Bombyx mori: one gene and its partners. The protein of the gene in region 2 interacts with the protein of the main gene of each other region in a biochemical or structural test. Links are inferred from orthologs where the notes say so. Each region holds a gene or a part of one and is shown on either strand. Other genes may lie near its edges.

Evidence for each region.
Region 1: the proteins of 26S proteasome non-ATPase regulatory subunit 2 (region 2) and ubiquitin-protein ligase E3C form a complex in vitro, tested with the Homo sapiens proteins (2 studies listed by BioGRID). The link is inferred for Bombyx mori from reciprocal best matches to the Homo sapiens genes PSMD2 and UBE3C.
Region 3: the proteins of 26S proteasome non-ATPase regulatory subunit 2 (region 2) and ubiquitin-like domain-containing CTD phosphatase 1 form a complex in vitro, tested with the Homo sapiens proteins (3 studies listed by BioGRID). The link is inferred for Bombyx mori from reciprocal best matches to the Homo sapiens genes PSMD2 and UBLCP1.

The regions. Positions count from the first base shown.
Region 1 is NC_085111.1:13,504,888-13,509,044, forward strand, and holds the start of ubiquitin-protein ligase E3C, read right to left. Parts: upstream 2,903-4,157; 5' UTR 2,704-2,902; intron 2,623-2,703; 5' UTR 2,599-2,622; coding exon 2,473-2,598; intron 2,388-2,472; coding exon 2,184-2,387; intron 2,035-2,183; coding exon 1,915-2,034; intron 1,095-1,914; coding exon 968-1,094; intron 697-967; coding exon 543-696; intron 40-542; coding exon 1-39. UniProt on the Homo sapiens protein: E3 ubiquitin-protein ligase that specifically catalyzes 'Lys-29'- and 'Lys-48'-linked polyubiquitin chains.
Region 2 is NC_085114.1:10,684,222-10,687,881, reverse strand, and holds part of 26S proteasome non-ATPase regulatory subunit 2, read left to right. Parts: intron 1-359; coding exon 360-593; intron 594-903; coding exon 904-1,052; intron 1,053-1,524; coding exon 1,525-1,627; intron 1,628-2,307; coding exon 2,308-2,474; intron 2,475-3,660. UniProt on the Homo sapiens protein: Component of the 26S proteasome, a multiprotein complex involved in the ATP-dependent degradation of ubiquitinated proteins.
Region 3 is NC_085132.1:10,308,346-10,311,375, reverse strand, and holds the end of ubiquitin-like domain-containing CTD phosphatase 1, read left to right. Parts: intron 1-982; coding exon 983-1,303; 3' UTR 1,304-2,432; downstream 2,433-3,030. UniProt on the Homo sapiens protein: Dephosphorylates 26S nuclear proteasomes, thereby decreasing their proteolytic activity. Recruited to the 19S regulatory particle of the 26S proteasome through its interaction with 19S component PSMD2/RPN1.

The DNA of each region.
Region 1 (4,157 bases), on a different chromosome or scaffold from region 2:
CACAAAAATGCCGCAGTAAACTCTGTTGTTACTGTATCTCTGAAACAAAATAAATACTTGTCAATATTGAACCCTCGGATTTTAATATAGAGTGCTAAAACCAAAACTGTTCTATGGCAAAGTTTTTACAAATACAATACCTTCCAATAAAGTAAACATACAACTTTTTCCTGTAATCATCATTGTTTTTGCATCTTGTAAAACATAACAAAACAGAAGGTCAAAGGGGAATATTATTTCATTGCTTATCTTCTTTGGCTCTTATGTAAAATACTGTGTAGGTATATAAAAAATATCTTCTGTATAATTACCTTGAAAAGAACTTACTACGAATAAAATTTGCAAAGCTGTATAAGATATAGAGATAATATATATTTATGATTTATGATATGATATATATTTATGTTGCCCTGGAAGATACACAAGCATATGGCTCACCTGATTAGTCATAGTCATGAGGAGTACCAGGGAAACAGCCAAAATGCTACTTATCATTATTTCAGTTAAAATTAATATTATAAAATAAATAATAAGCAACTTACTCATACTGAGGAATGTTCACTCGCAGGATCAGTGACAGAGGGCGCTGAATTAACTCTAAAAGTGCTCCGCTTAATGGGGTGGGTGGGTTTGGTGATGGACCATACATTGGTGGGGTCTTTTCACATATTAATTTACACAGATCCATGAAATAGCCTGAAAAATTATAAAAAAGTACAAGATCAAAGATCATGTTTTTTTTTTAACTTTTACTGAAGTCTTTATTGCTATCATCTTCATCACAATATTTATTGAGTTTTAACAACAAATGAAAGCTGATTATTTTAAGAAAGAAAATTTAGGTAATTTAGTGTCAGAAAACTATGTTAATGAATTATTAATATCTCTTTCTTATAAAACTTGTTGAAACTGTTGAATGTTAATTTGAGTTGTTATGCCAACAATAGCATGATGTGTATAAACATACCTCTTTTAATTAAATACAAGAATGTATTGGCAACAAATCTCAGTGCCTCATCACAGTTCATTGCTGCTTCTACTGTACTAGTGGATGTGAATACTTCAAACATTCTGAGTGGAACTGCTAAAGGCACCTGGAACATTGATTTTTTAAATACCATCTATACTAAGGGTTCCCAAACTTATTTTGTGTACTGCCCACTTTGAGAATAAATTATTTTTTAGTGCCCCCATTTTTTCACCTACTCAAAAACCACTATAGCGAGAGCTCAGTAGGTGTCTAAGAGTCCTCCTAGATGAAGTTACAAATCGCCTCCCAAGCTTCTACACAGTGCCCCCAATTTTTTTTTCTGGGTCCCTTACTGTCCCCCTTTAGGCCTGCAGCGCCCACAAGGGGGCATTATCACTCACTTTGGGAAAGGTTTTTTTTTCCTACCTAAGCTGAGAGGCTATTTCAGCAGTGAGAGGCTATTTCAGCGGATGGGAAAGGCTGATCTATAGCATCTATAGAATTTTTACAAAATTATTTTAACACATTATTGAAGACCAGTTGTGGTTGAGGCTTTTGCTCAGCAAAGGCAGGTTTAGCCACAGTCTCTATATTAAAATTCATAAGGATATGAAAAGGTACACATAGTGACTACAAAAGAGAAAGCCATCAATAGTCAAAAGGCTATTGCTTAACATTGGTAATAAAAACGCTGATTAACAGGCTAGCATTTGAAAATGTGTTAAATCTAAAATGGTTTTTCCGTTCAATTAGTAGACTGTTTCAATATTGTGAAACCCTAATAGCCTCTGATTATAATTGTTTTTACTGAAATTCAGCATTGTATATTGTATTTTAGAGTTCAGAAATATCAGTATAAAATTAACATTTTCAATGTTTTTTTTAATCGTAAAATTTAATTATATCACATTATAATTATATGTTGGGCTAGAATTGTTGCTCACCTCTGTGTTATACTTCAATAGTCGCAAATGTAATGCTAGTAATCTTCTTATCTGTATACTAGAGCCACTGTTGTGGAAGACCTTTTTCCATTGTTTTAACAACAATTGTGATATTGATACCTATATGAAACAAATTTAAGAATGTACAGTAACATCTACAATACTAGTTAATATTCTGATACTAGTTAAGATTCTGAAAGAACAGACTGCTAGTATATTTTGTCAATTTTATAATTTTTTTTAATAAAAATTTAGAACTTCAAACTTACCAATCTAGAAACATCAGCTTTGTCATCATAGAAGAAAAATATTTTTGCTAACAGTGCTGAGATTGTTGTTTGATCTTCTACATTAATTCTAGGAAACATATCATCAAATTGGTCCCTTTCTACTTGTTTACATTTTTTTCTGGTTAAGTAGCTTCTAAAATATGCTTGAATTTTTATAACACTGTTTAAACGTTTTCGGTGTTCCTAAAAATATAGTTGAATGATAATTATATCACCGAATCTACTTTGTACAGGGTGGTGTGGTGAACTATTAGTACAGGTTATTTACCTCTCGTTTTTGTCTTTGTAACTGTGTTTGTTGAATCAAAGAGTCTCTATCGGTCTTTCGTGCCGCGCTTGCACCTGCTAAATTTTGTTGGGGTTTTCGCCTAAAGTCTCCCTCGAATGAATACATGATGTTAAGAAATTTTCATAAATTCTGAAACAAATATACGCCGTGTAAACAACGATCAGCTGAAACTGAGAAGATTCAAATTCATGACAAACACAATTTACCAACCTTAGTTTGCAGGTCAGTCAGTAAATATATTTTGTTTATTGGTGATGAATCGCACATACATAGCAATCACAAAGACCAAATATTTTCATTCAGCAATCTAACAGGCAAATATATAATGCCACTGAATTAGACATTTTGGTAATTTTGTGTTTTGTAATTTCAGAACTCACTTTGTTTGACAGCTGACTGACATTTATCGAATCATCTTTGATTAACATCGATGAAAATTTTAATCGATTCCTTCATTCTTATTTCGCGAGTATAAACGTCCATGATGCAAAAAAAGCTTTATTACTGCTCTGTGCTCTTCAGTATTACTTTAGGTTTAAAGTATTGATGTGTATAAATAATAGTGGCTTACTTATTAATTAGCATTTGTGAAAGTAAAGTACTGTTTGGATAAATGAAACAAAATTGTCGGATCGTATTTTTCAGATTCTCTCAAAAAGTCTCCTGAAAAGTGAAATTTCATCAAAATCTTTTTTAATCTTAAAAAAACTTTATTAAGATCAGATTTATTTAATACCATCATCAATTTGATTTCATAGACCTTTATTTTGATTTCATTTTGCTTGTTACGTTCCATTTTTAGAATAATAACACATATTTTCCAATTAACTCTTTGCATGTTCTCTTTCATAGATAATAATTATCTTTGCCTGTGAACTTTAAAACTATAAACAAGACAAAAATATTTTGTAGTATTTTGTACATAGCATAGATTATACACTGGTACATAGGTAGTTACATACCCAGTGTGACCAGATTTAGCAGAATTCTGCGGTTTTAGCAGAATTCTGCGGTTTTAGCAGAATTAGACCCCCAATTTAAGGTTTAGCAGATTGTGTTGCAGATTTGAAAATAAGGAATTTTTCGCCTGAATCTCATAAAAACTTCACAGAATTGTAGCAGGATTTGACATCTAACTGTGTTTCACATTTATTCATTCGGGTAGTTGCGCTAAAAATATTTGAGGAATTTTACCTTTGTTAAAACAATGTCAGGTTTTTCTTCCAACACTGCCAGCACTCAAGCACATTTTAGGGGAATCCCCGTTAAATGTTTAGCTTTGAAGTTCTGTGTAGTGTTCAATGAACACTGTTTACATATTTCCTAAATAGTCGTCGACCATTGTCTCTCAGTTGTGTAATACTCGTAATTTGCAATTTTTTGATCCACAAAACGGTGTATATAAAGTTGACCAGAACTGTTTCTAAATTTCCTAATTTGGTTAAAGAATCTAACATACAAGCAATTGACTCCGAATATCAGGAGGTTAAATTAGACAAAACAGTGGCCAAACTATTAGAATCTGGAGGGAGTTCTAATCCCACACCTATGAGTTTGAACACAGAAATGTTTTGGGTCACATTAAAATTTCAGGCTGATAGAACTAAGAAGTATCCGCACTTGGTTGATTTTGCAAAGGCCACGATGACTTTGGCTATGTCTAA
Region 2 (3,660 bases):
GTTTGAAGAGTGGGGCAGGCGTTGTAACTATACTGAGACCTTAGAACTTGTATCTCAAGGTGGGTGGCGCATTTACGTTGTAGATGTCTATGGGCTCCAGTAACCACCTAACACCAGGTGGGCTGTGAGCTCGTCCACACATCTAAGCAATAAAAATAAAATAAAAAAAAGAAGCATAAGAGGTAATGTTTGGGCATATATAGAAAATAAGTTACCGGTATTATTACCGGTATCATGACTATTACTCTATGATTTTCAAGAATTAAAGAACTATAAGAAGTACTGAACCTTTCTACTGTATATTAATTACATCAGGATAAAAATGTTATATTCGTTTTATATTTAATTCTATTTTATAGGTATGCTCTCAGCGGCCGCGTCCCTTGGTATGATTCACTTGTGGGATGTAGACGGTGGTCTAACGCCTATCGACAAATACCTGTATACCGCCGACGAGCACATCAAGGCTGGTGCCCTACTGGCTTTAGGTCTCGTGAACTGCGGTGTCAGGAACGAGTGTGATCCAGCCTTAGCTCTGCTCTCCGATTATGTTCTGCATTCCAGTTCCAATCTCAGGATCGGAAGTGTTTTGGGTATGCTGACGATTATTTTTTTGTAGGATATTACATTTGTATAATTTAAGTAAAATAAATTCTGTCAATGCATATCCAATATTTACTGTGGCGATAACCATCAGAGAACACAAGATATTTGACAGATGCCTCAATCTCGCTTGCGACATTTTCAAGATAAGCTTGCGTATTACATTACAATTCTTACTTTGGTTCGCATATATATTCATTTATGAACTTAAGAATTTGGACAACTTGTATGCCTAAGAGTCAAAGTAATGCAAACTGTCTATTAAATTGTTTATATTTATTACCGTAATATTGTAAACAGGTCTAGGTATTGCATATGCGGGAACACAACGAGAAGATGTGCTGTCCCACTTGCTTCCCGTGCTCAACGACACGACCGCCCCGGCCGAGATCTGCGCACTCGCCGCCATCTCCTGCGGGCTCATCGCCGTTGGATCGTGCAATGGCGATGTATGTATCATGGACGTATTACATAAATAACAATGTTGCTAATCTAAATTAAAACATGATTACTGGTGGTAGAACCTCTTGTGAGTCCGCACGGGTAGGTACCACCACCCCGCCTATTTCTACCGTGAAGCAGTAATGCGTTTCGGTTTGAAGGGTGCGGCAGTCGTTGTAACTATACTGAGACCTTAGAACTTATATCTCAAGATGGATGGTGCGTTTACGTTGTAGATGTCTATGGGCTTCAGTAACCACTTAACACCAGGTCGGCTGTGACTTCGTCCACCCATCTAGGCAAAAAAAATATAAAATCTTTATTTAAATACGCTAAAATATAGCTATTAATATAATAAATAAATAAACCTAGTTTATTACAAAAATAATGAAAGTCTGGACTGGAAGTCTTATAATATAAATTTTAATAATCTTTCAAAAGTGGAAAAGACAAAAATATAATATTCTGTGTTGTTGACAGGTGTCTTGTGCAATCATTCAGCGATTGATTGACGATAACAAGGATTTGCACTCGTCTACTTACGCCAGGTTCCTGCATTTGGGACTCGGGCTGTGTTTCTTAGGTGAGTTGCGTTACTGCTTTCAAAATCGTAACATGCTATACATTTATGACATCAGAGAATTGTATCGACTTCAGAATAGCAGCATGTATATGCAAAGCCCAAAAAGTTTTAAAAACAATTATTCATAGTATAATTGTAGATGTTATATTAAATAGAATTACTAAAATTCACCCAAAGTAGTGTTATCCAAAGTGAACATATAAATGTTGTAAAGTAACAAACTAAATAAAAAATACAACTATAATATAACTTACTCACCGGGTGAGCTGAGAGTGAGGTTTTTTTTCCTACTTAAGCTTGAGAGGCTATATCAGCGTAGTAGGTGAGCTCACGGGGCCCAAACCTGTCGAAGCTGCTAACACTGGCCCTAGCAAGAGTCGTGCTTCGTAGAATCTACCACCGGATCGGAAACGCGACTCACTGAGAAGATTCGACGAGAAACTCAGTGGGCTGTGTCTATGGGTTAGTTTACTCGCCGAGCCCTTCGCCGCTAGTGACGGGTTCGACGGGAACGACGACCGGTGCTTGAGGTACCTAAAATCCGAAATGACGTGTTTTGGGCGACGTCGACTGTTTACCATTCGGTCCGAAAGTAAGGAATACTACTTCACTTACTATGAAGTTAGCCTTTGGTTCGGCCTCAGTGCGAGCACGAACTCAACAGTGATGTTTGTTCGCAGGCTGCAAGGAGCGCACGGAGGCGACGATGGCCGCGTTGGAAGTACTTCCGGAGCCGCAGCAGTCGCTCTGCCAGACCACGCTGTCCATGTGCGCGTACGCCGGCACCGGGGACGTGCTCGTGGTGCAACAGATGCTGCACATCTGCTCCAAGCACTACGAAACCGATGTTAGTAATGTTACACGCGCTGGGGTTCGGGATAAATAAATGCTCCACCAAAGTACAACTTGAACGGTAGGCAGCGGCTTGGCTCTGCCCGTGGCATTGCTGACGTCTATGAGCGACGGTAACCACTCACCATCAGGTGGGCCGTACGCCCGTCTGCCTATACGGCAATTAAAAAAAACTGTGTAGCACTTAGAACACTTAAAACACTGAAAGAATGAAAGAGAAAGATAGAAATCATTTATTCGCTAAGCACTTCACTAACACTTTAAAATTCTCAATTCACTTCTTTACTCATTGACTGCGTATCATTTCTGCAACGCTTTTATAGTCGATAGGACATCCCTAGAAACGTCGAGAACATTCCTCACAAGCCGAGTACCTTCGATGTGTGTTTCCGTTATCTGACAATAGATGGCGTTGTACTTCTCGAGCGTTCTAGGTGTTACTGATCCTTCTATATTCGTTCGGCTATTCGGCGATAGATGGCGTTACTCTTAGCGGCGTAACAGTAATAATAACCGAGGACATGCTACACACGGTCACAGTAATATGAGAACCAGAGACTGATATATACATATATGTATAGGTACATAATAACGGTAGACAGTGGCTTGCTTCTGCCGCTGGCATTTCTGAAGTCTATGGGCGACGGTAACCACTAACCATCAGTTGGGCCGTATGCATAGAAGGGCAATAAAGAAGAAAAAAACTATACAAACAGCAAACAAACTTGTTCATCTCACAAATGTGGGAATAGAACCCACCCACCATAATAATCAGGATTACTACTATACCACAGAGTCAGTTAAAATTATTCTTATTTTCTCAATAATGAACTGCAATTGATTCTATAGGCTACAAGCAGATGCAATGCAAGTTTTTACATCAATTTACAGTTAAAATCTTTGATGCAATTCGATTATTGCATTGCAAATTTAACTGGCGTTTGGAACTTCGCTGCAGACTTGTCTACCAATTTATTTGTATAATTATATCATTAATCATTGTATTTCTGTTCTTTATTCAATTACTCCGATTATATCTAATTATTTTATTTTTTGTAAGAATGAAGCGAGCTTACTATTGACTATTCAAATCGAAGCCGTAAAAAATGCAGCTTTTACGTAAGATTGTACCATTTTAACACGCGAGGCTGCAGAACTATCTTGGAACATTTATCACTTCT
Region 3 (3,030 bases), on a different chromosome or scaffold from region 2:
GAATTTGCTAAATCTAGCCCTAGCAAGAGTAGTGCTTCGCAGAATCTACCACTGGATGGGGGTAGTCTCAACAAATGGCCATATTATTTAAACATCACTCAGCTCCATTTGTATTTAAATGCGCGCGCTTTTTTTTTTCGTATCTATGCTGATAGCCTTGAGAGGCTATATCAGCTTCGCCCTAACATGTAGGTGAGCTCACGGGGCTCAAACCGGAGTGTTGCTAGCACTGGCCCTAGCAAGAGCCGTGCTTCGCAGAATCTACCACCGAATCGGAAACGCGACCCACTGAGAAGATCTGGCGAGAAACTCAGTGGGCTAGTCTACAAACAGCAATAGCTATAAGTTTTGGTGGCAACCGGAGTGTCTGGTGTGAAGACAGCTGCTCACAAATAGATCAGATTCATTTAAATGCTCAGAATGTCCAAATTGTCCAAAAATTTCCAATAAGCCAATGCCTAGCCATTAGTGTAGCTTCCACTTCTTTTTTTATTGCTTTGATGGTTGGACGAGCTTACAGCCCACCTGGTGTTAAGTTGTTACTGGAGCCCATAGACATCTACAACGTAAATGCGCCACCCACCTTGAGATATAAGTTCTAAGGTTTCAAGTATAGTTACAACGGCTGCCAAACCCTTCAAACCGAAACGCATTAGTGCTTCACGGCAGAAATAGGCAGGGCGGTGGTACCTACCCGTGCGGACTCACAAGAGGTCCTACCACCAGTAATTACGCAAATTATAATTTTGCAAGTTTGATTTGTATTACACGATGTTATTCCTTCACCGTGGTGGTCAATCGTGAACATTTGTTAAGTACGTATTTCATTAGAAAAATTGGTACCCGCCTGCGGGATTCGAACACCGGTACATCGCTCGATACGAATGCACCGGACGTCTTATCTTTTAGGCCACGACGACCATAAAAGAGTCAACTTACGTTTACTGTCCATTGCCTAATTAATATCTTTGTTCTGTTATAGGTCAAACCTCTAGGCGTGATCTGGGGAAAATACCCCCAGTACAGTTCGAAAAACACAATAATGTTTGACGACATACGAAGGAACTTCATTATGAACCCAAAGAGTGGCCTCAAAATTAGGCCGTTCAGGCAAGCGCACCTCAACCGGGACAAGGACCGGGAGTTGCTCTACCTATCGACTTACCTCAAGGATATCGCACAGAATTGCGAGGATTTCGACCAGCTGAACCACAAGAAGTGGGAGAAATACAAGCCCGACAGGAAACTCCAGGCGGGCAGTAAAAGGAAAGCGGAAGATTCGCCCTCCAAGCCGAGGGAATGACGGTAGTTTGACGTTTTTTTTTAGTGTGGTTTTTACGTTCTAAGGTTGGGAGGTGATTTAGCCTGTATTTTTTTTTATTGGCGAACGTCCAAGTGGCAAATTGGCCAGTGGTTCGTTTAGTGTTTTATGAATATCATATGTACCGGGTGTAACGGAATCGTTCTCTACAAACGTCACCTTAAATTCGTGATACATGGCGAGCAAATGATATTAGTTTTTTTTTTTTAGTGCCAAGTATCATCCTCGAGCTGTCTTCGTTATGGGGAGAAGATTCTTTAGATCCGGTATTTTAAACTTTGCCTTTTATACCTCGATCGATACGACTTCATGAATAATAGCAATAGTTGAAACGGTAGCTTAGCGTTTCCTCAGAAGGGGCGGGGGATCCTGTCGTGTAGAGTACTTAGCCTTATCCTGCCGCGAACCAGTGATGCGTTCGGGTTTGAAGGACGCAACAGCTTTATTCAATGCAACTGAATTTTCGGCTTCATATCTTGAGCTGGATGGCGGAATTCAGGTTGTGATTTGTATAAGCTTCGGTGACCTCTAAGCCGTGAGCCATCTAACCAGCTACAGAAATAACAAGAAAGATTTTCCATTATCACAAAATACCTGTGATGAAATGACCTTCTCGCAATTTAAGCACAAAACAAAGTAATGATTGTTGTAAGTGTTAATTTTTCTACAAATTAACGGATCTCAAACAGCCTTGAAGGATTTGACGAGGAGCCCTTCTCACCAAACATCACGTTTCTAAACTATATATCATGTCTAATATAATCTATACTACCACTAATTCTATTCTAACTTACTATATATGTGTAATATAATCTATGCTAGTAAAAAATAATTGTAACTTCAACATTTTCTCATGCATTTTACTCAGATCATGCAACTTGACATGACAAACTAAAAAAAAAACCTGTCAAATATGTGTGTCAGTGTCACAAGTGTAGACATTTCTTAAACGAGAGAGACAAACTATATTCTGACATTTTCTTTTTCAATTCCAATGAAAGAACTGCCGTTTCTAATTTAGTATAATGCTATTCGAATGATATTAGACTTAAATAAGCATTTAATGCAATTGTATAATTTATAAACGAATAAAGATACTTTTTTTTTGTAATGCGTCATTTTATTTTTATTCCGCCTGCGAAACTGTACCAATCGCCATTGAAACCGCGGTAGGCAGCGGCTTGGCTCTGCCCCTGATATTGCTGAAGTCCATGGGCGACGGTAACCACTCACAGGTATGCTCGTCTCCCTACAAGGGCAATAAAAAAAAAACTGTTTTTTAGTGAATGGCATTCCAAGTTTATGCTTACACTGTGTGGGCTAACTTCGACAGATATAATAAATGTCGGTAATACTTACCTAATTATATTTTATGAAAGTTATGTTCCGCCTGTCACGAGGTGACTTCCCACGATATCCTTCGTCCAAAAACTTATAAGTACATTATAATTTGTCGTTTTGAACCTCACGCGCAAGGAAGCGTTTACATCTTACAGAAGTGGCGGGGAACAATCGCTCAATACCCACTAGCGTCAGGGCTAGAAAATAAGTGAATCGCAAAGTTTTACACGATTTTGTTGCTTTGTGTGCTTAGTGCGAGTTTTTTAACGTTCTCGATAGCGTAAAAGTTAACGTTGGAACAGCGCCCCTAGCGGCAAACGTAGGCCAACTCCATACAAAATTGAGTTAACTTTTACGCTATCGAGAAC